Oryzias latipes: one gene and its partners. The main gene of each other region encodes a partner of the protein of the gene in region 3 in a complex. Links are inferred from orthologs where the notes say so. Each region holds a gene or a part of one and is shown on either strand. Other genes may lie near its edges.

Region 1 (4,013 bases), on a different chromosome or scaffold from region 3:
CTCCTAGCATCCGGGAGGGACCGTCCAGGGCGCCGGCAGCGCCGGCAGGACCCACGTTCAGAGAAGAACTGACCGGATGGTTTTGTCGTCGGCTGCAGAGAGGATTTGCTTGTCGTCGTTGCACCACAGAGCCTTCTTGATGGCTGCGCCGTGACCTGCGATCTCCTGTGGGGCTGATGAACACAGGGAGGGGGGAGGGGGGGTCACATGATGCCGTGTTTAGCAGAAGTACCTTCAAACTGCATCTCACCTGCGTCGGTGTTGCTGAGGTCGAAAATGCGCAGCAGCTTGTCGTTTCCCGCCGTCAGAAGGTGGTTGCTGTCCTAACAGACACAAGCACAGATTTACTGTCCTCCATCTGGCTTGATGAATGTTCACCAGGAGCTTTATCTGTCTCATGTTTGTAAAATCAAAGCAGCAGGAACACGGAGCACTTTGTGACTACAATCATTGTATAGATGGTGTCCCAGCGTTAAGCACTTCCTCTTTACGGTTCAGTTTGCTGTGATGTTTGATGAGCTAAAGTTGTTACGTTTGGCCCACTATTACAGTTTGGTGCCACTCCAATCATCTTGTGATTTATTTTCAAAGTGTTCTAATGATGATGATGATGCGGTTTTTGGTCATTTTCCAGGACATAGTTTCTGCAGGGCGGCAGGACTTCATCAGAAATGAGCCTCTTGGTTGTGGTGTGGAGTAAGCCGTCCAGTCCTGATCCAGATTCCAGCTCAGACCAGGAACACAAAGACGTTCATGGATCTATTTGTCTGCAGGTGGATGATCAGAATGGAGCAGAGCAGGAAGCTTTAGACTCCCCAGCCTATTTCCTACGTCACATATATGACATTTTTGTGTCTGCTCCTGATTTGAAAAATTAAACATCAGAAATGTTATTTTGAGCTTAATTTTCTGTCTATATGTTCTCCGTCGTGAGAAAAATTACCACCATTTTAACAGGACGGGGTCTTTAACCCACATCGGTTCTACCAAAACCCGCATACGCAGACACGGACAAAGAAAGCAGAGACGCCTGGCGCCACACTGACCTGAGTGAAGTTCACAGACTTGACGATGTGTTTGTGCGCCAGAGACAGGACCTCGTCTCCGCTGACCGAGTCCCACACCTTCCTGCAGAAAACAGACACGGTCAGAAGCGTGTGACAGGGGAACATAGAGGGACGGTCAGTGTTGGGGGGCAACGGATTACAAAGCAGCAACATGACCCCACCCTTACATCGACGTGTTCTCCCTACGATGACAAAGGTGGAAAGATTTCATGTAATCCATGGACACCAGTGAAGATCACAAATCATTGAAGAAAAAAGGTTCAGAGCACTGTCTAGTGGGTCTAGATGACCCAACTTCCAGGGCTAACGTGCCTCCAAGGCACACTGGAAAATCAAGCTAGTTTTCAGGGTAGAACAAAGTCAGGGTGCCTGAAAATAAAAAGCAACTCTACTGTCAGGAGTTTCTTTTCTACTGGAAAGACGTTTAGACTCCCAGAAAAAAAATAAGCCAACTTCTTAAAAAAAAATCCACAGAAACTAGTTATCTTGGAGAAAAAGAAACCGCTTCTTTCCTAGATAAAACCCTGATTCCAGGGGAGGGGGGGAAAACAAAAGCTTTTTTCCTAGGTAAGAAGCCAGTGAAATAAAAAGTTTCCTGGAAAAAAAGGCTCATTTTCTGGGGGAAATTCTTCATTTCCAGCAGGTAGAACAGTGCATTTCCTGGAGGAAAGTAGTTTGTTTCCTACTATTAAAACAACTTTCCTGGAGGAAAAGGCTGCTTTCCCAGTAGGAAAGAAGCGTGTTTTTCCTTGGGAAAACAGGCAGTTTCCCAAATCTACTCACGCTGTGAAGTCGGCGGCGGCGGTGGCGGCTTTGGTGGCGTCCATGTTCAGAGTGGCCCCCCAAACAGCACCTTTGTGACCAAGAAACGTTCCGATCCAGTCTCCTGTGTCTCCTTGGCGCAACATGGGCTTGCCATCTTTAACAGAAGGGATTGGATCAGAACCAGAGGCGGGTAGTTACATTTACTCAGTTACTTTTTTTTTGCCAAAGTAACTGTTGGGCTTGAACCAAGTCCTGAGTTTTGTTACATAATCATTAATTACTAGCTTTTCCTAGAGTTTGATGAGGAATCCCTGAGGAGCCTTACTTGATACTCTCGTTACTTTCATGGATTACAGTTACCAGTAAGACCCACAACTTCCCTACAGACAGAGTTCTGCTCAGAAATCAGACCATTCATCAGAACCGGATCCGCCAGGTCTGTTCTACGAGTTTTCTAGGATCGTTTTAAGTCAGAACCGACACACGACCAGATCGGGTTCTGCCTGCACAGACAGAGGGGCTCGCTAACGGCCGAGCCACCGGAACCCCGCGCCGGCTAACGGCCTGCTGGAGCTCACCCTTGCAGGCGCTGATGAGGAAGTATCCGAAAGGCGTGATTCCGCTGAAAGCCAGGTCCACCACGGGTCGGGTGTGACCCGAACAGGTGAGGGGGGTCTGCCTCATGGCCATGGTTGGTGGTCTTCAGCCGCCGCCGGAACCGTCGCGCTCGCGGAAGGAGGCGGCGAACAAACGGGGCCCGCTAACGAACCGGGAGCGGAGGAGCGGCTGTCGGGTAACGGGGAGCAGTCGAGCGGGTGCGGGTGTGAGGAGCGGGGGTCGGTGTCCTTCAGGGTTTGGCCCCCCCAGAGAAGAAACGGCCTCGCGCTAATAGCTACAACATTGCAACTAACTAGCAACGTGCGTAACTGCAGTTACGATGACGACACAAAACCGCGAGACACGACACACTTCCGGGGAATTTCACAATAAAATCCGTCTGTCAGGTGTTTTCGTTTTTTTTTTATGAAAGTAACGGAGAAAAACGTTGTTTTTTGTTTTTTTTATTGAATTTTATAAAGAAAATGTTACAATAGATGGTTCATTTCTAAGAATTACTCAATTTTCTAACAGGGAAGCTCTTTTTTATTAGCAGGACATTACGTACATTAAACTAACTAACTAACTAACTAACTAACTAACTAACTAACTAACTAACTAACTAACTAACTAACTAACTAACTAACTAACTAACTAACTAACTAACTAACTAACTAACTAACTAACTAAATAATAATAATAATAAAAAAAAACTAATTCAGTTGTTTTAAATGTCAAATAATTATATGGAATTATTAAGCACCCAGAGACTCAAACGTTTAAGAGTCTGTTATATAATGTAGGGATTTTATATATCTGCATTAATGAATATAGTTTTACTGCTGCAAACCAGTACCTATACTGTAATTTATTGATATTGTTTACAGGAAAAGTTTCGCTTACAGTTGTTCTCAATTGCTAAAACACTAAACCCTATTATTGTCTGAACCAAATGCCCAGTTGCCTGAACCCACTGATTGCATCGAACGTTCCTTTGGCCGAACCATAAGTACTTCTCACCTGTTTAGACACGACTTGGCAACACATTTTCATTGTGATACACCCGTGCTGCATAAAGGTGTGCACAGGTGACAAAAGTCAAACACAAAGAAAGCACAGGTGTCCCCACTTGAACACAACAACTCAAAACTGATCACACTTGTGGGAGAACATATAAAGTAAGCCAGTTCAGAGAGCACTGGTTTGTGAGGCCCTACAATGGACAGAAATCTGAGAGGAAGAGTTCATGGTGGTTGAGGTGGTCAGCAAAGACAAAGAACAGTAACATCTCATGAAATCAGAGCTACTGGGATCGACAAAGTGCTTGTCCATGGGATTAGCATGAGGGAGGCTGGACAACAGGTACAACCAAACGCCAGTAGATTCACTGTGTCCACCATGATCCGAAGATTTAGGGTAAAGAACAGGTAAAATGCCTTTTATTGGCATTATAAGTAAATGTTGCCAGAAATTACTGTACCACTGAACTAATGCACTGTAATATTGTAATATTGTAGTGGAGGGTTGGTATAACAGTTTGTAGGCCTAGAATACCGTGTATTCTTTTTGTAACTACACAAGTCA
Region 2 (4,115 bases), on a different chromosome or scaffold from region 3:
TAGGAGGAGAAATATTTGAAAAGTTGTTTATTGAAGGGGATTTTATTTAACCCCATGAAGGGTAAATCAACATCTCCATATACTCTCTACACAACTTTCAGTCGTTTTCTGCAAACGTCAGGTGGAAAGGTTCTCGTCAATCATCGACTCGCTGGTGCTTCAACGCAACGTTGAAGGAAACTTCCAGCTTCAATATTTGCAAAATGTTGTGATAGACCGACTGTTCAATACTTCCTTTTGTTGTTTGATATAGTTCCAGAAGTAAGCATGTTCGATTAGACAAGAGATGTTTATGCTTCAGCCTCTACGCTTGATTGGTGGAGAAAGTGTTTAAAATAAGAGCAGCTGGCAAAAGTAATTGGGCAAAAACGTCGCAAGAATTGGTTGAATTCATGTGAACTGGTGTGATTGCAAAATCCAAGAGGATCTGATGGAACAACAAAGAAGTCCTCGATCTAAAATAGAAGTACTGTTTATGATTCAGGTAAATTGCTACCTGATATATTGTGCAGGAGCGAGTTTGTCGGCGGCCCGGACAGGCATGGCTGCAGCAATCTTTTGCGACACCTGCTTTTGTAGAGCGGCCCGAGTCTTCTCAGTCAACTGCAAAGAGCATCCATCCCCAACCATGAGAAACTACACATGCTTACAGTAATTAAAAACAATAAGTAAGGGCACGCTGAAAGACAATTTCACCAAATCGGATGAATGAATCCTGAATGTCTGCACGAGCCCGAGCAGCAAATTACCTCTTCTACAGCCTCCTCATCCGGCTTCTGAAGGCCTGAAGCGTCTTCATTAAGAACTTCTTTTGGGAGCAGATCAGTGTACTTGCTGTAAATCACCTACAAAAATCAAGAAGAAAATTATAGAAATAATCTCACTCAAAATTTACCAATATGGCAAAACATGCAGACTCATAGAATAGGATAGATTGTGTAAAGCTGCGTTTACACTAAATGCCATTTGCGCATTAGGAGTGTCCAGTTTTAATGTTAGCTTAACGTAAAGAAGCAATCAGATTTGATTTTGGAGCTGCACACCAGTCTGGCAGCCGCGCGCTTTTTTGGCTGTTGCGGTGCGTCAAGAGTTCAAAAATATGAACTTCGGCAAACAAGATGCGCCGCGTCAACCAATCAGGGACTCCTCTTCGGACCGGGATGCGTTGAAGATGTTATAAGTGGATCAAGACACACAAAAAAAGGTCCTGAATGCAGAACAGAAAGTCGTCAAACTGGGTTTCCCTTTCAGGAGCAGATGTGGGAGTCTCTGGATGATCTCATTGATCAAGACATGGAGACGTGCCTATCGACATTTTTGTAGAGCTCTTCAAAGTAGAAAAACGTGATATCTCAACATCATCCCTGTCTGCAGCAATGAGGCTAAAACCGTTTGGCGGTAGCTCCTCCCACATGCGTCTGGAGTGTCGTGTATGAACACCAATAGAAATGTAAGGATCAAACATGGTTTTTACAAAAAACAAAACACTATAGTGTGCATTTTTTTTAAATGACAACCAAACCAAGCTGTATTACCAAAGTTAAGATTAGGTCCCACATTTCTGTGGAGATTCTGTCATCCAGAACATCGGTTCTTCAGCTGGACTTTTAGAGGTCAATTTAGAATCTGTCAAGTCATATAATGAACCTCTCATGTTAGTTTGATAAAGTTCATCGTGTCTTGTATTATTAACTGACTTGTTGGTTCTTTTTTATGTGAAAAAATACAAATAAAACACAGCCGTGTCTGATAGGAATAGAACCAAGAAGTCAGAACCTCTCATGTATTTGTGGACACTAAGAGCAAGAATAGGGTTTTAAAGCTCCTCACTGACTGCCAGAAAGAGGAAAAGCTCAAGTACCTTATCCTTAGCCTGTCCTTGTCTGGCAATGGCATCATATTTGATTTTCCCTTCTGCGTCCACTTGAACTGCCAGGGCGTTAGAGGTCTTCTTCTTCCTGCCCATCTCCAGAGGAAACTGGGCCACGTGAATCTCTGGAAAAGCCCCGCCATCTCCGAAGTCCTAGGAACACCCAGAATGTTTTGTAGAAATGCGAAACTAGGCAGTGAACCAATGTGTAATCCATTGAAGTGCACCTCAAATGCACGCGGAACCCAGCCTTTTCTGTGTCCGTAAGGAGGGGGTTCTTTACGGGACGCAACCAGCGCAGTGGAATAGGATTTCTGGGTCCGAATCCGCTCTTCTGCTTCCAGCTGGTCCTGAGACAGCTGGGTCGGTGCCGGTAAATAGCTGTGCAAAACAGGTCCACATAATGCAGTTTAAAGACAACTTAGCAAGTCGCTGTAAACGCGGATCAGCGTGAAACGACGTCAAAGTAGCAGGAACAAAAACTGCAAACCTGAAACGTTAATGCAGGTAAAGAGGTTTATTTAACACGATATCAAATACATGTGTTTAAGTAATAGATTAAACAAACAAGCTAACTTCAGAAACGGTCGTTTGAGGGTACAAGCTAATGCTAACCCCGTCTCACTAGTTAGCACTAGCTAGCATTAGCTAACATCATAAACACAGAAAAGAGCGAAACGTTTAAAGTTTAACTAAATATTTAACGTTTAATATTAAACCAAATAAATGTATAACAAACACAGACAGAAACTCCGATCGCATTTTGTGCCTTATTCGCCAAAAGGCCTCACTTAGAGACTTACCTCGTCAGAGACATTTTCCTTTCTTCCTGAACTATGAAGTGAGCATGCGCAAGAACAGGCCGTAAGCGAAAAAGAGAAGAAGGTTGCCAGGTTTGACAATTCTAAGCTCTAATACATATCAAACCATGTCCAGTTCGATAAAAACAAAATAAAATAAAAGTACATACTCGTTTTACAACATTTTATTTGTTATGTTAACTTGTTAAGTTAATTACATAATAAAAGCCAATGCACACAAAAAACAGGCTTTCACCCACCCAATGAAAAAAACACGAAACTTTATACATACACTTGTGCTTCCCACATTTTTTTCTAATTATTAAAAAACCCTATATGTTGTATTGGCCAATCATCTATTCATCTATAAAATAAAGTTATTAAATATTTAAAATAATTGAAATAACACAGCCTTTATATTTTCTATGCATACAAATTTGGACTTGCTTTACTTCTGACGGCCGCTTATCCAAATTCCTTTAAAAATAAATTACACCCTGTACCAAATAAGATCTTCTGGCTGCATCATAACTTATAAACTATAAGAACTTTGTCTCTGAACAGCAACTACACAGTGTTGTGGCGCAGAGGATCAGAAAAAGAGCTTTAAGGCTTATTTGAAAAAAACAAAACAAAAAACACTCAGACAGTACACTACAACTCTTATTATTATTTTGTTCCAAACTTCACATTTATAATTTCTTCAAATCATTCCCTTTTTTTTTTTAAACCTTAGAGCCACAATGGATGGACATGTGGCTCCATAGCCTCAGGTTGCAGATCCCTGCCCTGGACTCAGCAGGCCAGGTTCCCAATGAAGAAACACGGGAGTCAAAGGTAAAGTTAAGAAGTTAAAGCAACATTTAAATTACACAAAAAACAACAATAGAAAAATAATAATTTTATAAAAAAACAAGGATGACAGAATAAAAGAATGATATGCTTGAATAAAAAAAATGCATAAATGTTTTTATAAATTACATAAGGATACTTCAGATACATATTTTGTTACTTCAAAAGAGGATTTTTTTTTGGTGGATGGAAACTTCCTCCATTTCCTTTGGATTGTTTTCATATTTAATAAAAAGTATCATTCATATTCAGGAAGAGACTCAGACTGCCAGAGAACTTTTGCTGAAACAGAAGGAAATCCCTTAGGATCTAATAGAAAACAGGTAGCCACCTTATTAAGTCCACTCATGGATAAGTGATTTCATATCCTGCTTTCATGCAGATGTTGCGAGTCTAAATCCTTTTTCTGTCAATCTTAAAGCCTAAATGTATATTAAAGCCTGTGATCTGTCAATAAGGTTTTTCTAAGATATCTAGCAGTTTGCACTGCTGTCGTGCAGAGACACGAATCCTCAAAATCAATGAAATTCTTTGCCTTATTTTTATTTCCCACCAGCGAATGTTGTCTCTTGATTTCATTAAGTTTGTTCCTC
Region 3 (4,026 bases):
AAAAAAAAAAACAGCATTCAGGAAGCAGGGTGTACCAAGAATAAGGAAAAGTGGACACACCATTTATCAGCATTGGTTAGGAACCACTCACCTTGTGCTTTCAGAATGGCCGCTTTGCCTCTTCCTGCTCCAGAACCCTGGTTCTTGTTCTTCATACTCTTTAACATTGGAGCGTTCTTTAACATGTCTGGTAAGATCAGAAAGCGGATCTTGCTGCCACGAATGTACACTTGTTCCAGCTGGGCAACCCGCCCGTCACGATAGGTTACTGTGATGTTGGACATCTGTTGGGACATAGAAATAAATGGTTCCGGTCTTAGATTCGTAAAATGGCTTGATACACGTTTACAGTGTTCAATGGAATGCAGGTTAACATTTTAAGTTATCTGTTAAACTTGGCAATGCAGTTCTCTATTTGAAAACACATTTGTAGATACTTCATTTAATCCCTTAAAATAATTTCTAACAACCTTTTTGATTTGTCATTTGATTAATAAGAAATCTACAATTATTAACAGAATATACGTTTTAGAATATTTAGCGTTTTGTTAAAGCCTTCACACTTATCTTTAGAGTACTTTTAAGACACACTGAGCTTTATCCACCAAAATTTCTGCTTTTAAATGAAATAAACAGATTTGGAGTCTATTAAACTTTTACTGCACTAATGAAGCTTGAAAAGACTATCAGCATTGACAGGATGTTTGGGAAATATATTTAGTTACAGTACTCAATACTTTAAGAAAAATGGCTTTAAATATTTCAAGGACAAATGTGCATATATGACCAGATAACTATACAGATTTTTTTAGGGGGGGGGGGTGAATTGGGTCAGTTAATAGAAAGAACACAACTTAAATTTACAAAATAAAATAAAATTGTTATTCCAGATTTGTTTGTTACAGATGTGCAACCAAAACTAGAGACCCAAAAAAAACAACAAAAAAACAAAGGTCATAAAGGCAACCTGTCCCAAAACTTTAAAATAATCCAACATAATTTCCTTTTTCCACACAGGGCCGTTTGGTTTCTTAGTGCTGTGTTTCTATTTACTTCCAACGGTAATGATAAATCATTTATGGTTTTTGTTTTTCCCTACAGGTCACTGACCTGATGCATATTAGTAAAAGGGAGTATGTTTTGTTGACTGTAAAAGCACCATTGATCTCATTGAGTAATTAAGTCACTACATCAATCAATCATACGTTACACACGTGTGGTTGGCTGAGATTTTGAGGGACAAAGAAACCGGGAGAGATTTTTCTTCGAAGAGGAGTAACCGATTTGTCTTTCGCTACAAACATGTTGAACAACTGTTTTTTAAAAAAAAAAAAGAAAGAAAGAAAGTATAACATGAGTTTGTCTCACCGCAATTGTTTTACTAAAATACTACATTCTCAACAAACCTACTCAAATAGTTCTACATCACCTGCTTGTTATAATTGGTAGATTCTAGACTTATTCCTGTGAAAGCAAAAAAAACAAATGTGCAAGTCTAAATAAGAGTTGGTGCAATAAACTGCATTAAAATACCTTTGGCATTTTTGTTTCCAAAAAGTATGTGAAATAAAAGGGGGGGGGGGCAGCCAACAATAAAATGTCCATTAAAAAAACATTCTTGTGTTCTTTACACATTTAAAATGTTCTTCTCAAGTGTGGTACAGTGAGTTGAACTCTAAATAGAAATTTACGGCATGCTTTTTTTTTTTGGGGGGGGGACGTTACTCCATACAAACCTGGCAGTTCATGTTGTCTTCAGCCTCGATCAGTTTGCCCCTGTAAACCTCTCCAGTGTTGGTTTCACAGGTCACAATGTGTCCCTCTGCTTCATGCAGGACCTTGATTGGTACGCCAATGGACATTTTGGAAACGGTCTTTCTAGGCTATTAAATTAAAAAAAAAGACAAAACATACGGTAAAGGGCACTGAAACATACAGTATTATCACAAAACCTGACGTACGGTATTGTCTTTGTTTACAGAAGGCTACTGAAAGTCTACAACATGCAATTCATTCATCCAATTTTATGATTATTATGTTTGCATGTGTCTGGCTTGGAAGTAATATTTACTGTTAGAACATACTTAAGACTTGTTTTGTGCTGTAAATAAGGTAATTTACACCCACAAAAAAAAACGTACAAAAAAGGCACTTAAGTATAACAATGTTTCCATTATCATTAGCTAAGCTACCTCGTTAGTGATTTATTTCTTGTACTGTTTATCAAGACGGTATTATTTCTACGTAGAGAAATCAAGTGCTGCAGAAAACTCTTCAGTTTTGGATTACACAGTTTAATCAGGTAAATGTTCGGGATTACTTTTAAAACGTAGTAACGCTAATGGCTAGCTTAGCTAGCCACGTTAGCTAACTAGCCACCAACTACTGGCCTCAAGCGAAACAAAACATTAATTAAAAACTGTGGGAAGTAAACCACCACAATATATTTAACGTTAATGCTTCACACCCAACATTGTTGGGACTCAAACGTGCAAATTATTTTAGACACAAGCTAAATATCAGGCATGGATGGAGCGATGGACATATTCGAAACTTAGCAAATGGGAGGCAATGTAGACAAAAAGCGATAATTCTGAATCACATTCACAGCTAAATACCAACCACAATATAATACTTGCTAGCTTTAGTAGCTAGGGTTTAAAGTCTTACTTCAACTCCCTTTGAATTCTTGAATTGTTGTTCTTTTTAGCGGCTCAGCAACGTGGGCTAGTCGTTGAGCTTGGCGTTTGAGCCTTTTTTCCGCTTACCCACAATGCACCAACAAAGCGTTTGTTTCCTGTGGCGCTTTTCGCCGTGCATTATGGGACATGTAGTTGATTCTGATTACCTAAACCAGGTGTGTTAGGTCAAACAGAATGTAGACTCACTTGAGTCAGCCAGTTACCAGAAAGATGGTTAAGGAGAAACAACAACAACAATAATAATAATAAGTGTTATTATTTTTTGTACTATTATTATTCTTTTTTAGTAGTATTGGAAGTAGTAGTAATAGTAAATAAAAACTAATTTTCATCAAAAGGCCTCAGAGAGGTCCAGGAATACCAATCATTATAGGACATTGGACTTTCAAACAAAAATAGAAATCATGAAACGTTAACAGATTAAAAATGTACACAATAAAAAATGACTTGTTTATTTGTCCTGAATTAGATTAACATGAATTTAATTTGATGATTACTCATTGGAAAAAATCAACTATAATGGAACACTGGATAGATATTTGTAAAAATATTTTATTGATTCCTTGCAGTGGTGCATGTTTTTTTTCCATAATCCTCCTCACTATGTTTTTTCTCTTTTCCTTATTTGTTTTATGTGAAAGATTTGAATCCCGAACACGTGTATAGCTGGCACATATGCTTGTCAAAACATCCCAGCAAGAAGAGATTATGAAAATGAAACGACTCAATCAATTCAAATGGATTTTTTTCATCGACCACAGAGAGCTATAAACATTTACTCTACATAGTTTTTGAATGAACAGACTTTACGTATCATATACATACCCTTGCGTGTTTATTTATGTGGACTAGTCTTTTTTACCACTTCAGTGAGACGCATAAACATTGCTTAATGCGGGGCTTTCTCACGCTGGAAGAGGTTTCTAATGAGGAAAGACAAAGCATAATGGGATAATAAAAGACATCACCAAATGAACCATCATTTGATTTCCATTGCAACAGGGTCATTGACTGGCGTCAGCAGACAGGCTACTCTGTAAACACCTGTACCTGTGCAGCGTGTGGTCATGTGTATCTACTTTACGTGTCCATGAGGGTTTCAGGCGTTTAATGCATGCTAACCTGACTCTGAACGTAGTTCCAGTCCAGCCATGAGCAGTGACATTTGCAGAGATCAAACAAGCACTTGTTTTGGGTGGATGCTAACAGGCCTGTTTACACTGATGCCTTTGAATCATGTCACTTAGATGTTGATCTGGGTTGTCAGCTTTTGTTGCCAGGCAATTATCCAATTGCTGATCAAGCAAGCAAAAGGATTTACTTA
Region 4 (3,961 bases), about 16 Mb from region 3:
AACAAATATCAGCAAAAACACCCAATGGTTTAATTTCATTTCACTTAAATTTAAGTATAAGGTGGAGACATTAAATGCAGACATCAAATAGACAGTGGAATTCATTAGAAGCCTGCTCTGAATGGATTTGATGAATTTTGACCAAATTTAGTAGAATTTTTCCTTTTATATTTTAATATCAATTTTTCCATCTTAAGAATTGCATATAATAATTTGATGACACACGCCTTTCTTGACACACAAGGTCACTGTACATAGCAGTAAAAACAAGAATAAAAATACATTTAGAAAAATAGGATAAAAAAACAATGTGAGAAAGCTGGAGAAAAAAAGAGGACCGGAGAAAACGAGAGGAGGCGTCAACTTGGAGGAGCTCAGAGGTAAACAGGGGCCAGGTTATGGAGGGATTTGAAGGTGAGGAAGAGGAGGAGTCTGAATTGAATTGGACGCCAGTGCAATTGCTGGAGGAAGGGGGGGGGGGGGGGGTGATCAAAGGTTGGAGTTCTGGAGACAATATGGGCAGTGGAATTCTGGACCAGATGCAGTTTATTACGGATTTTGTTCAGGAGACCAAAAAGGAGCAACTCAAGTGTGAATCAAGACAGAAGTGGACAGTGAGAACAAGGCGGAGACGATGAATGTTCATAACAATTATTATTATAAAGCCATCCCCACAACACGATAACGGCCCGCAGCCATTGAGCCGCATCGCCTCCACCGCTCACATGTTTATATTTACTCTGGAGATGAGTTTGGAAATTGTGTCGTAAACCCGCAGGTCAGAAGAAAATGTAGCCGTCAACAGAGTAGAAGTGAACCCAATCTCTGCACCTGGGGGGTATTCCAGAAGTCATGTTTAAACTCCCCTGACTTTAACCCTGAACTCTGGCTGAAATCCACCTGAACTTGCTTACTCTGGGTATGTCGGTTCCAAAAGTCCGGATACGAGTTAGCGTAATTACGTTCCACTTGGTAACCCTGGGTAAATGCACGTGCACGGCATGTACATAAAGACATTCTCAATGGACCGCCGATTTCTGGAGTCACCATGGAAACGCGCACTAGTGGTGCTAAATAAACTCATCCGCCTCTTCCTCCCTCTCACTCATGGTGCAGAAAGAATTAAACATAACAGGACAAAATAACTAGACAAAACACAGTAAAACAGCTAAACTAAACACATTTGGTCAAAAACCCACACTTAAACCCAAATCCGTCCAGACAGGCAAAGGGAATGGTATCCCACAATTCCTTGCGGTGCAGATCTAACAGCAGCACCAAAGTTACACCTACTTCATTGAATCAATTTGAATGAAAGTAAAATAAATGTCTGATAACTACGTGTTATTTTTAAGCTGACTGAACTCCAAAAAAGATTCATCTTAACTTAAGCAAATAATTAAGTTAGATGAAAGTATAAAGTTTCTCTTTCCAACATCCATATGTGGTCTTATCATCCTCTCATGGTGGAAAAAGTATTATCTGAGCTTCTTCATCCACTAAATCATCTTCAAATGGACACGCCATGCTGCTTCACATCTCTGAAAAACAAACTAACCTTCAACTAAACCTGCTCCTGACCAGGTTATGTTCAGAGCATGAGTTGCTATGGCAACTTGACCTACCCTGAAACATACCTCCATTTCTGGAACAGAAAGCTGAGGTTATCCACTTCCTTAGCCTCAAACTTACCGTGGGAGCTAGCATAACCTGCTTTCTGGAATACCCCCCTGGTGGTTTCAAATCATCTGAAACGATGCCTTGAAAATGTACATAACGGGTCTGCTTTTCATAATTACCCGGGACAGGACCCTCCGACCCTCTCGATTGACGCCTGGCCTCCTTCTCTAAAAGACGATCACTGACTTGATCTGCACTGATTTTCACCCTTATGAGAATGTTATTTTCGATTTCTATCATTTTAATCAGGACAAAAAGGATTCATATTTTAATAAAAATATTAATTTTTTGCTAAATTCTATATTCAGCTAAGTCCCCAACAGCAAACCCGAAGTGATACTTAGAAATAAAATGTAAACATGACATAAATTCTTCACATCTGTTAGCATCAATAAGCTCTATCATATTCAGTTATTCTATTATTTTCTTCTCTAGGAATCCATCATTTTATGTTAACATGTGTACGTTTGACTCCCTTTGTTTGCATTTGTCTACGAAATGAATAAAGTTAATTAAAAACAAATAAAGTTAAATGAAAAACAAAAACACAATATTCCTTGTTAGCCGGCTGAACTTCTCTGTTTCTTTCAGATGCTCCTCCCCTATTTGGAGATTTTGGTACGGTCGCCTTTTTAAACGATGAAGCATTTTAGTCGACAGTAGTTTTAATCTTCTATCCTTGGTAATTTGATGTTTTATACCTGTCCTATCGTAAATGCCAGCCTATTCTTACGTCTTTTCTTTGTTTTGCGTTTCTTGAGGCAAACGGACATTCAGTCTGTACTAATGACGTCATCTACTAAACACTGAACATTTCTTCCCTCCATCACCCTTTTTGCAGGCGAAGCTGCACAACAGTTAGAACCTCCAACCAATTTCTGCAGTGGAACCGGTTCCGATCCACGCGGGGGAATCTGTGGCTGATTGAAAGCGCGTGCGGCGGAGGAATAAATTAGATGCTGTGAGCGCGTGCTAGTCCTTAACTGTTTTTGCTGCTACAGCTTCGTTACTTTTTTCGTAAACTCACCTTAATCCGACAAAGCTGCCTCCACGCGCTAAATGATCCGGATATATGTGCTGTAACCGCTTCCGGGTCAACCTACTACTTCCGGTTCACCGGAAAAACCTGGATACGCGCGTCTTGTGTCTCAACAACAGGTCGTGGAGCTCCGCGAGCGCGCGTTTTACCCACTCGTTCAAGGTAAGCTCACTGGTAAAAGCGCGTGACGAACCTAATTTGTTGCTAACCAGAAGTAAAACTGCAGATCACGTGGTGTTTGTTTATTTGCTGAATGGATGTCCAGAAAGGAGGTCAAACGTCCGGAGCTCATCTCCAGGTCTTGGGTTCCTTGCAGACGGAGCAGAGCTCGTGGCTTTCCTCCGAATCAGAGATTCTGTACAGCTGGCTGTCATGACAGAAACAGGTGGTTGTCAACCAAAACCTTACACAAACTGATCCGTGTGACCCAGAGCATCCTCATTCTTTTAAGACCCTTTGACTGAACTGGAACCAGTGGAGCATCAAACTAGAACCTTTCACGTTTCGTGGTTAGGTGTGTCAGATAATCAGCAAAGTACGTCCACTTTGCTCCCTAGGGGGCGCTGTTTTGGCTGCTGGATTCAGACCTGAGGTTCAGTGGAGAAATGGTATGGTTCTTATTGCTGGGTGTAGTCACAGGGCGTCTTCAATTCCAGAATAGCCCAAACCCACAGAACCAGAGATGAGCTTAAGTTCTAGTGTCCCATAATTTATGTAAAAGAAACAGAGCTTGTTCTTTAAAATGATATTTTGGAGTAGCTTGTGACTTTGAGGTCAAACACTGTAGACTTCTGACCCCCTCTTTGTGGGAGTCTGAAGATCTGATCCAACCAGAGGTTCCTGAGTAAACCCCCACAGAGACCAGGGGGGTATTCCAGAAGTCATGTTTAAACTCCCCTGACTTTAACCCTGAACTCTGGCTGAAATCCACCTGAACTTGCTTACTCTGGGTATGTCGGTTCCAACAGACCGGATATGAGTTAGCATAATTACGCTCCACTTGGTAACCCTGGGTTAATGCACGTGCACAGCAGGTACATAAAAACATTCTCAATGGATCGCCGATTTCTGGAGTCACCATGGAAACGTGTGGAGAAAAAAAGAGAGAGAGCTGTACTTCAGTAAGACGGATTCGGACATTTAAATGACGGCGTATGAAGATTATACGTCCATCAATAAAGTAACACGGCTGCATCATCAGCAAAAGAGAGTTTCTGCTTGGAGAAAAGAACAGACAAAGTA
Region 5 (4,028 bases), on a different chromosome or scaffold from region 3:
TAAATCCCTTTGTGCATTTGACCAATCGGATGGAGCCCTTTTATGTTAGATGCTCGCCTCATAGGTAGACGAGGGTCATTTGGAGTGTAAATAATTGAAACTATTTACATTTTACGAAACCCTTGTGATATCTTAGATGACCCCACCCTTACATCGACGTGTTCTCCCTACCATGACAAATGTGGATAAAGGTGGAAAGATGTCATGTAATCCATTGACACCAGTGAAGATCACAAATCATTGAAGAAAAAAGGTTTAGCGCACTGTCTAGTGGGTCTAGATGACCCAACTCCCAACGTTAAAATGTCTAGGATAGCACAAGGGTTAACCCTTGTTGTTGTAAAATTAAAATGCAGCTGTTTTTGCTATTTGTTGATATGTAGCAAGTATATTGTCATCGCAATATTGATCACCAATGTTGCAAATTTTCCTCATATCATGCCGCCCAAGTCAGGACTAAAGGGAGGAGAGCCAAACACTCACACGAAGGCAGAACTTCTGTAGATTTTTTTTATTTCAATAAAAGACACCTGAATTATCCAGACTAAGAAAGCCACAAACTTAGGCTTCCATGAGGTTTGGTATTTCTGCTGATTAGTGACAGTTGGTAGAAACGTATTCCTCCCATGAAAGCAGGATAACTTGGGTTTCTATATGTCTTTTTTTTTTAAATCTAATACGACTACAGACAAACTTTCCCTCATTTTTCCTTTGATGAGTATCTGACCTTTTCAGTTGGTGTCCAACATTTGAAAGGAATTATTTTCTGTCTAGTAAAACACATCTTTACCATTTTTCCATGAGAACAAATATACTCATTTTGCTGGAAGCCTGTTTTGAGCAAATTTCAAATTACTTTTATAAATGTACTTGTGCTTAAAAACATACAAAAACCATCTTAATATTCAGATTCTGATCCAGTGAAGACATGAGTCCTGTGCAAACTCCAGCTGCAAATGAGAGGAGGTGCAAGACCTGGACAAGCAGCTTAATTTTCCTCTCTTCATAACCAACTTTAGGGTGGATTTTGTTCAAAGGAAATCCTCCAGATCGGTTCAACATCTGCTGAAAACACCAGAAATTAAACAATCATAAAACCAAAACGGTCACTGTTTGTTTCCACTTGACTGTGAAGCAAAGTCTTTAGTCTTTGGGTAGTGGGATCCCAACAGCCATCTGCTGTCCCTGCATCTGCTGCTCGGCCTGCCTGACCTGATCCTTGGTGCAGCAGTCCTGCAGGAACACAGCAGCTAGGTTGTGCAGCCGGGGACTCTCAGCAAGAGAGAAACGCAGCATGCACTGCAAGATGCCTGGCTCTGTGAGCTGAGATTGTGAAGCTGGAGTCACAAGGTTCATAAGGGTAGTAATTGCTGATAGCACTGTCTCCTCCCTCTGGTTTGACAGACAGTTTGTGATTAAGCTGATGCCGTCACTGTCCAGGATGAGGTCCCTGCAGTCTGGGTCCATACTGAGGTTACAGAGCCCACCTGAGAAAATTTAGACCAAAAAAAATGTTTTTCACTGCATTTATGGTACAAAAAAACCCAAATGATAATCTAAAAAGATTCACCCATTCCAAACTCAATAAAGTTCTCGTTCTTCTCAGTCAACATATCCAGAAACAGGTCGGTCACTTGCAGCTGTCGCAGATACTCTGTGTTCTTTGGGTCGTAAGCAAAGTTGGCGAGGTTTGCCAAAACCTGCTCCTTTGCCTCTAACGACAACAGAACATAAATAAAAAACACAGAATCAGATTCAAATTCAATTAAATTACATATACTGGACATTAATGACTGAAACGGGAACAAGGACCAAAAGCAAGATAAATTTAATCCACCAGAGGGCGCTTTTTTACACCTCAACATTAAAAATAAGACTAAAGACCTGCATTCCTAAAAAATTATTGACGGACAATAATATGTAGTTTGATCCTTTATATATTGCATATAAAAGGCTGCAAAAGTCTATCAGCATAAATCATTAAATGGCATTTGTTAAATTTTGGTTTTATTGATTTTTAAAAAACGTCATTATGCATTTTTAATTTAGTATTCAAACATGATCGTCAGAATTACTAAAGCATAATTATTTAAAAAAAAAAATCTTAAAAGATAAATGCATTGTTTTTTTCCTGAATAATCTGTCCTGTTTCTAAGCATTCAGATTTTAAAAATTAAATTTTTGTAGTTTATATATATATATATATAATAAAATAAATAAAAATAAAAAAATAATTATATATATATATATATATATATATATATATATATATATATATATATATATATATATATATATATATATATATATATATATAAAGTGACTATCATGGATTGATATAAGTAAGACATGCTTTCATTACAATGTTTATGCATTAACAATTTAATTTCAAAGAATTTGTTGTAAACTAGCAATAATTCTTAGTTTTTCTAAATGAATCTGCGAGCTATTTGTGTTTTTACCTTCACTGTCACTATCCTGAAACTCTGTGACAAGAGCCTGTAAATATTCAAACCGGTCAGAGGTTTCGGGTGAAAAGTTCCGTTTCATCATTCAGTATCTTATATTGTGTTTTTAAGAAGACAAACGCGCGATTAAAACAAAAAAATAAAATACATTTGAAATAGTATCCTCATTTATGCATTTGGTTTCAGTAGTTCGTTCATTTTGTCCGTCTTTCAAATACGTCCGGCTTAAATTAGAATTTGGACAGTGGTTCCGGGATATTGTTTCGTGACTCTTTTTTTTTCTTCTTCTGAAGACTGGATGAACTGTTAACGCAACAGAATAACAATTAAAAATGAAACCCAAAAGTAGAATTAAGCTGTTCTTACATAAAAAAGAGCTGTCAATTTATTTTATCACTTAAAACGTTGTGATTTTTAATAATTAGGCCTATAATGTTTCGGTAATAAATCACTTTGATTTAATTTAATTAAATGATTACTTTTTGTCATAGACGATAAAAGCAAATTACTTTACGAAATTCAATTCTCAAACGGAAGTCGGTACTTCTTTGTCGACATAGACGTCAGTGCTGGACCGGAAGTTGAGGCGCTCCAACGTCCCTTCAGCTAACTAACTCACGCGCAGGAAGGTCAGCTGAAAACAAACTCACGTTTCTGTTGCTGTTTGGATTCTATGCCGTGAACCTTCTGATTTAAAGTTCTGCAGCAATGAAGCCTCACAAGCTCTCTGCAGCTAAAAGGCTCACGAAACCTATTCTGTTCGGGAGCATCATTGTTGGACTTGCCACTGTTTACATAAACAGGTGATCTATTTTCTTATTTTGTATAAAACAATAGGAAAGTTATAACGCAAATATAGACTTTAGTCTATATATTCAGAATATTTTTTTATGTGTTTAACGTTGGAGATTGTTGTCCTTGCGTAATGACGCTGACGTTTGATTGTAATCAAGTTTAAGAAAAACACTGAAAACATGTCTGTACTGTCCTTAAGTACAAATTAACATTGGAGCCAAACCATAATTTCATTAACAGGAAATTTTGTCTTTAAATATCTTTAGTAATAGGAAAAATACAACTATTTTTATTTTGTAGCCCTTTTTATTTCCAAAGCAAGGCATCACAGACACATACTCTTTCTTTGCACCACAAAAAATACTAACATTTAATTATATAAGTGTAAGACTGCAGGTAACAGCATTTTTAATTTATAATTAGTAATCATTTGTAATGAGACACTAATGTTTTTAATTAGTAGATTATTTAGCATAATTTCAGTTTTTGACCAGTATCTTCTACAACCTGGAGTGCAATTACTATTTAAAATAAATTAAAGAAATCTAAATAAATGTCTTTGTAAAATATATCTTTAAAATAAGAATCTTTTTTGTAAAACATATTGTGTTATTGGAAGTGGGGGGCTTTTTCACTTCACAAATTTCTCTTTTCTACATTGGTGTCACGTTTTTGACACTTAGTGCAGCTGCTTTTATCAGATTACATTTTTTAAATTTTTTTTAAATTTTTTTGTGTGAAATCTGCTCTGGTTTAGTTGGTGTA
Region 6 (4,014 bases), on a different chromosome or scaffold from region 3:
TAATTGGATATTACCTACTGCAGCTACTGAGTACTGAGTTAGATTCTTCTGCTGCAAAGGTGCACAGCACTGCCATCTACCGCTCAGAGGGTGGAACTGATACAGTGCCTGCTGTTCCTGATCATGAGGCCCTCCCAGGACATAGAGAGTCTCTGTAGCTTTGGTCCGCCTCAAAGACCTGCCTACTGACCAAGAGGCTGGGAAGTGATCATTCAGCTTGCTGATGAGCCTTGCTCGAGGGTCAGAACCTTTCATTCTGGTCAGAAGTTGGGTAATAAATGCTAAGGAGAGAGACTCTGGTCTCACCAGCTCTATTAGCTCTAAAAAATGTTCTTCTCGTTTAGGATCAAACGAAACCCAGCGCAGGGTGGCTTCAAGCGCCACATCGTCTTTGTGGAGAGCCAGATCATCACTGGCAAGTAGATCAGCAATACTTTCCTTGGAAAGGGACAGAAAATCCTCTTCAGCTGAGACCGCAGGGAAGTGTGTGAGCACAACCTGCCGGGCTGCAGAATAAAGCTGAGAGCAGCCCAGTTGCCATGCATAGGCCATCATTCCTAAACAATTCGTGAGGTGTAGCTCGCGCTCCAAGAACTTGCAACACAGCAGTCTGGCTTTTTCTAGTTGTAGATAGTTTGCAGTCTCAAGAATCCCAAGAACATTTTCATGGTCCAAAGTCAGACGGCGAGTCTTGCTGTACTCTATCAAAACTTTGAAAGACTGTCGACCCACACCTTTGATCTCAACAAGCTTTTTGCGGCTTTCCACACCACAGCCAAAGAACAGAGCTCTGAAGTATGGACTCTGAAGGGCCAGGTGCTCCCGACAGACGTAAAAGTTCTCCTCCTCTACCCGTAGGACAGCATCTGGAATAAAATCCGGCCCAGGGTCTTCCACATGAAAAGCATATCCATCTTCGTCCATTGTGTTATCTAACTCATGGAAAAGATTGATTGAAGCTCTGAAACTTCACTTCAGTCACTGTAAAGAGTAAAACAAGTCTACTGCTTTGTCCTGTTTCTGGATCACAACTACGGTAGGTTCCCAACACACCAGCTGGTGTGTACTTTGTTTATTAATAGACGCCCCTGCCCGGAGAATGCAGTTAAGAAAGAGGTCAACTTTGAAAAGTAAAAGTTTTTTTAAAAATTACTATTAAAATACAATTATTTAGTAAAACTAAAGCTAAGAACATTTTTTTATTTTATTTTTTGAGTGCAAATAACTTCAGATGACGTCAGATGCGAGTTTACGGCGATGTGATTGGTGCTATTAAATTGTATCTGGGGTCAAAGTTTAACTTCCGGGTCACACTTCAAACATGGCGGTGAGTGCGAAATAATTTCGTTTAATTTTCTCTCTTATTGTTCACCGAACATTTTCTATTTGGTGTTAGTCAGTAATAGAATACTTGAGGAAATGAGAATAACATTTCTGAAGTAACGGCCGTTTTATTTGTGAAATTGTTACTGCCTTAGTCAGTGATGCTAAGCTAATGCTAGGCTAAGGGTCTGCGCCTTAAACTGTGCATTAATCTTGGAAACTGACATTTCTTTACAGGATAAAGAAAAGAAAAAGAAGGAGAGCATCTTTGACTTGTCCAAATACATCGACAAGCCAATTCGTGTGAAGTTTCAAGGAGGACGGGAGGGTAGGTGGCTTGTCGAAAGATTGTAACTTGTGGTGACCAGAATATTCACAGTGATGTCAGAATATAATTATTTACTTTGTTTATTCCCTCTTTAGCCAGCGGAGTTCTAAAAGGGTTCGATCCTCTATTGAACCTGGTGTTGGACGGTACAATTGAGTACATGCGTGGTAAGTGAAAACTCACGTGTACCCACTTTTCTTAATGGAGAACTAATAATTAAGTAGTTAGGAGTTATTTAGTCCATGGTTTACTGATACTGTTATGTGGACTCAGGCTGTGAGGTTCAAACTTTCTAATTCTTTTTCATTTCCAAAAATACTGTAACTCTTCTTTCAGTTAGAATATCAGCTTCACTCTTCAAACTGTTTTTTTAAGTAAATCAATTGTATTGATCTCCATTTAAAAAATGTAATATTTACTCATCAAAGCCGCAAGATTTTCTTTTTTTTTTTTAAACGATTTTCTCGTGCCTTCTCAGACAGGAGAAGCCAATCTGTTCGCCTTTATAATATTTACAATTTTTTGTATTTAAAGTTCTATTTTTCTTCAATTTATGAAAGTGACTATTCCCACATAATTTTCTAAATACGTAGAGCCGGTGCAGAACTTCTTTCTTGGCCTCACAGACCTGGAGGAATGGTTAGGGTTGGGTAAAACCACTAATGACTCTGATAAATGCATCTTTGCTGAACTTAATACGTGAATTTCCATCTGTTCTTGTGCAGTTTTTACTCGTAAATAAGTGTGAAAAACATCAGCGTTAATTTAATTCATCAGTTCTACAAAAGTGTGTATTTCTTAAAAACTAAAGCTTTAATAAAAATTGAAAAAAGTTAAATTGGAAATTAAAATGAGACTGAACTTTTTCAATAAACATTGATTTATTGTGCTGTAGTCTAAGACAGGTATTTTAGGACTTAATGTTTTGTTTTTAATCAAACTTTGAACTGCGTTTTCTAATCACAATTCCCCATCTTGAAAAAATGTCCTGTTTGTCATCATGAATGCATCATGTCTGCATCATGTCTCTAAAGATTCATAAAGAAGGTTATTCATATTTTTCAGAAAAACCATCAACAAGATGGACTTTTGTTTTCCAAATACATAACATGACCTCATTATTTCTTACTATGATGAGCATTCATGATGAAGACACATTAAAGTCGAGAGAAAATTAACACTAGCCCACTCTCTAATGCCGGATTAACAATGATTAATAAAGTAAACACATTTTAAACGTATATATAATTTGGCTGCATTAAAATGTCACAAAGAGCAGTTGGAGCTACTTTGATCGCCATGGCGAAAAACTGTTTTTTGTAAGAATGTTTTTTCTTCTAATTCTCCTTTCTAAATATTGTAACTTTTCTTTCAGTAAGAATTTCACCTTCACTCTTCAAACTAAGTAAATTAATTGTATTGATCTCCAGTTAAAAACTATAATAATAATTCATCAAACTCGCGTTTAATAACGATTAAAAACTTGGCGTGTTTTTCCGTAAACCAAAGTTTTTATCTCCCATTTGCATAGGTTCTAATAGGTCATTATCATATTCTGAAGCATTTCCTTAACATTAAGAGTCCACTAGCTAGAAAAAAATGTTTTTGTGTTTGAACTAATAACTCTTTGCATTGTAATATTGTTTTCCTCTAGTATCGGATCAACTGTGGACTCTTGTTCTGTTAAGCATTTGTCACATTTACTGACGGCAATAAAAATCTCTTTAAATGTACAAAAACTGCAACATAAAGATGAACATCCTCTGGCATTTACAATCCCTTTGTGTGTCTGTGTGCAGATCCAGACGACCAGCTGAAGCTGACAGAAGACACCAGGCAGCTGGGGCTGGTGGTCTGCAGAGGAACCTCCGTCGTCCTGATCTGTCCTCAGGACGGCATGGAGGCCATACCCAACCCCTTCATACAGCAGCAAGACGGCTAAATCGCCCATGAAGTGTTAGACCTTTGTTTTGTTTCTATTTTTGTTGTTTTTGTTTTAACCAACCTAATGGAAGAAAGCTGGAGAATCAGCAGTAAAAATGACTTTTGAATGCACTTCCCTTTTGTTTGTGGTGTCCAGACGTTGGAACCTCTGTTCTAAAGAGCTCATGTGCTACGGAAGTGCAAACCTTTTCATTTTTATGCAGGAACAACGTGAGCTTTTTACTGTTTGTTTTTGATAAGAAAAATAAAAGGAAAACCTATGCTGGAGTTTGTTTTTATCTTTGGGTGCAGTCGCTCCTTGCAGTGATCTGAGCTGGATCACATCTTCCTTTTCACACCCTGAGTGAGCTTTTGTCAGTTTGAAGGGAGTTTTTGTGTTTGGAATGGGAAAGCTTAGGCACACAGGGAGAAATCTGCGG

Evidence for each region. The genes of interacting proteins can lie anywhere in the genome.
Region 1: snrpd3 (region 3) and strap share a complex: the UniProt entries of both Homo sapiens proteins name them as parts of the SMN-Sm complex. The link is inferred for Oryzias latipes from reciprocal best matches to the Homo sapiens genes SNRPD3 and STRAP.
Region 2: snrpd3 (region 3) and snw1 share a complex: the UniProt entries of both Homo sapiens proteins name them as parts of the minor spliceosome. The link is inferred for Oryzias latipes from reciprocal best matches to the Homo sapiens genes SNRPD3 and SNW1.
Region 4: snrpd3 (region 3) and prpf4 share a complex: the UniProt entries of both Homo sapiens proteins name them as parts of the U4/U6-U5 tri-snRNP complex. The link is inferred for Oryzias latipes from reciprocal best matches to the Homo sapiens genes SNRPD3 and PRPF4.
Region 5: snrpd3 (region 3) and armc7 share a complex: the UniProt entries of both Homo sapiens proteins name them as parts of the minor spliceosome. The link is inferred for Oryzias latipes from reciprocal best matches to the Homo sapiens genes SNRPD3 and ARMC7.
Region 6: snrpd3 (region 3) and lsm7 share a complex: the UniProt entries of both Homo sapiens proteins name them as parts of the U4/U6-U5 tri-snRNP complex. The link is inferred for Oryzias latipes from reciprocal best matches to the Homo sapiens genes SNRPD3 and LSM7.

The regions. Positions count from the first base shown.
Region 1 is NC_019881.2:4,536,177-4,540,189, reverse strand, and holds the start of strap (serine-threonine kinase receptor-associated protein), read right to left. Parts: upstream 2,801-4,013; 5' UTR 2,523-2,800; coding exon 2,411-2,522; intron 1,987-2,410; coding exon 1,851-1,986; intron 1,129-1,850; coding exon 1,047-1,128; intron 324-1,046; coding exon 251-323; intron 174-250; coding exon 74-173; intron 1-73. UniProt on the Homo sapiens protein: The SMN complex catalyzes the assembly of small nuclear ribonucleoproteins (snRNPs), the building blocks of the spliceosome, and thereby plays an important role in the splicing of cellular pre-mRNAs.
Region 2 is NC_019882.2:3,678,808-3,682,922, forward strand, and holds the start of snw1 (SNW domain-containing protein 1), read right to left. Parts: upstream 2,801-4,115; 5' UTR 2,688-2,800; coding exon 2,674-2,687; intron 2,252-2,673; coding exon 2,098-2,251; intron 2,024-2,097; coding exon 1,862-2,023; intron 846-1,861; coding exon 750-845; intron 604-749; coding exon 497-603; intron 1-496. UniProt on the Homo sapiens protein: Involved in pre-mRNA splicing as component of the spliceosome. As a component of the minor spliceosome, involved in the splicing of U12-type introns in pre-mRNAs.
Region 3 is NC_019870.2:16,128,909-16,132,934, forward strand, and holds the start of snrpd3 (small nuclear ribonucleoprotein Sm D3), read right to left. Parts: upstream 2,801-4,026; 5' UTR 2,671-2,800; intron 1,884-2,670; 5' UTR 1,863-1,883; coding exon 1,737-1,862; intron 285-1,736; coding exon 92-284; intron 1-91. UniProt on the Homo sapiens protein: Plays a role in pre-mRNA splicing as a core component of the spliceosomal U1, U2, U4 and U5 small nuclear ribonucleoproteins (snRNPs), the building blocks of the spliceosome.
Region 4 is NC_019870.2:4,234-8,194, reverse strand, and holds the start of prpf4 (U4/U6 small nuclear ribonucleoprotein Prp4), read right to left. Parts: upstream 2,801-3,961; 5' UTR 2,708-2,800; intron 1-2,707. UniProt on the Homo sapiens protein: Plays a role in pre-mRNA splicing as component of the U4/U6-U5 tri-snRNP complex that is involved in spliceosome assembly, and as component of the precatalytic spliceosome (spliceosome B complex).
Region 5 is NC_019877.2:19,373,166-19,377,193, reverse strand, and holds armc7 (armadillo repeat-containing protein 7), read right to left. Parts: upstream 2,801-4,028; 5' UTR 2,554-2,800; coding exon 2,463-2,553; intron 1,715-2,462; coding exon 1,571-1,714; intron 1,488-1,570; coding exon 1,144-1,487; 3' UTR 497-1,143; downstream 1-496. UniProt on the Homo sapiens protein: As a component of the minor spliceosome, involved in the splicing of U12-type introns in pre-mRNAs.
Region 6 is NC_019862.2:8,272,683-8,276,696, reverse strand, and holds lsm7 (U6 snRNA-associated Sm-like protein LSm7), read left to right. Parts: upstream 1-1,214; 5' UTR 1,215-1,321; coding exon 1,322-1,327; intron 1,328-1,560; coding exon 1,561-1,651; intron 1,652-1,746; coding exon 1,747-1,818; intron 1,819-3,450; coding exon 3,451-3,593; 3' UTR 3,594-3,862; downstream 3,863-4,014. Other genes in the region: kelch-like protein 24, read right to left, coding at 15-924. UniProt on the Homo sapiens protein: Plays a role in pre-mRNA splicing as component of the U4/U6-U5 tri-snRNP complex that is involved in spliceosome assembly, and as component of the precatalytic spliceosome (spliceosome B complex).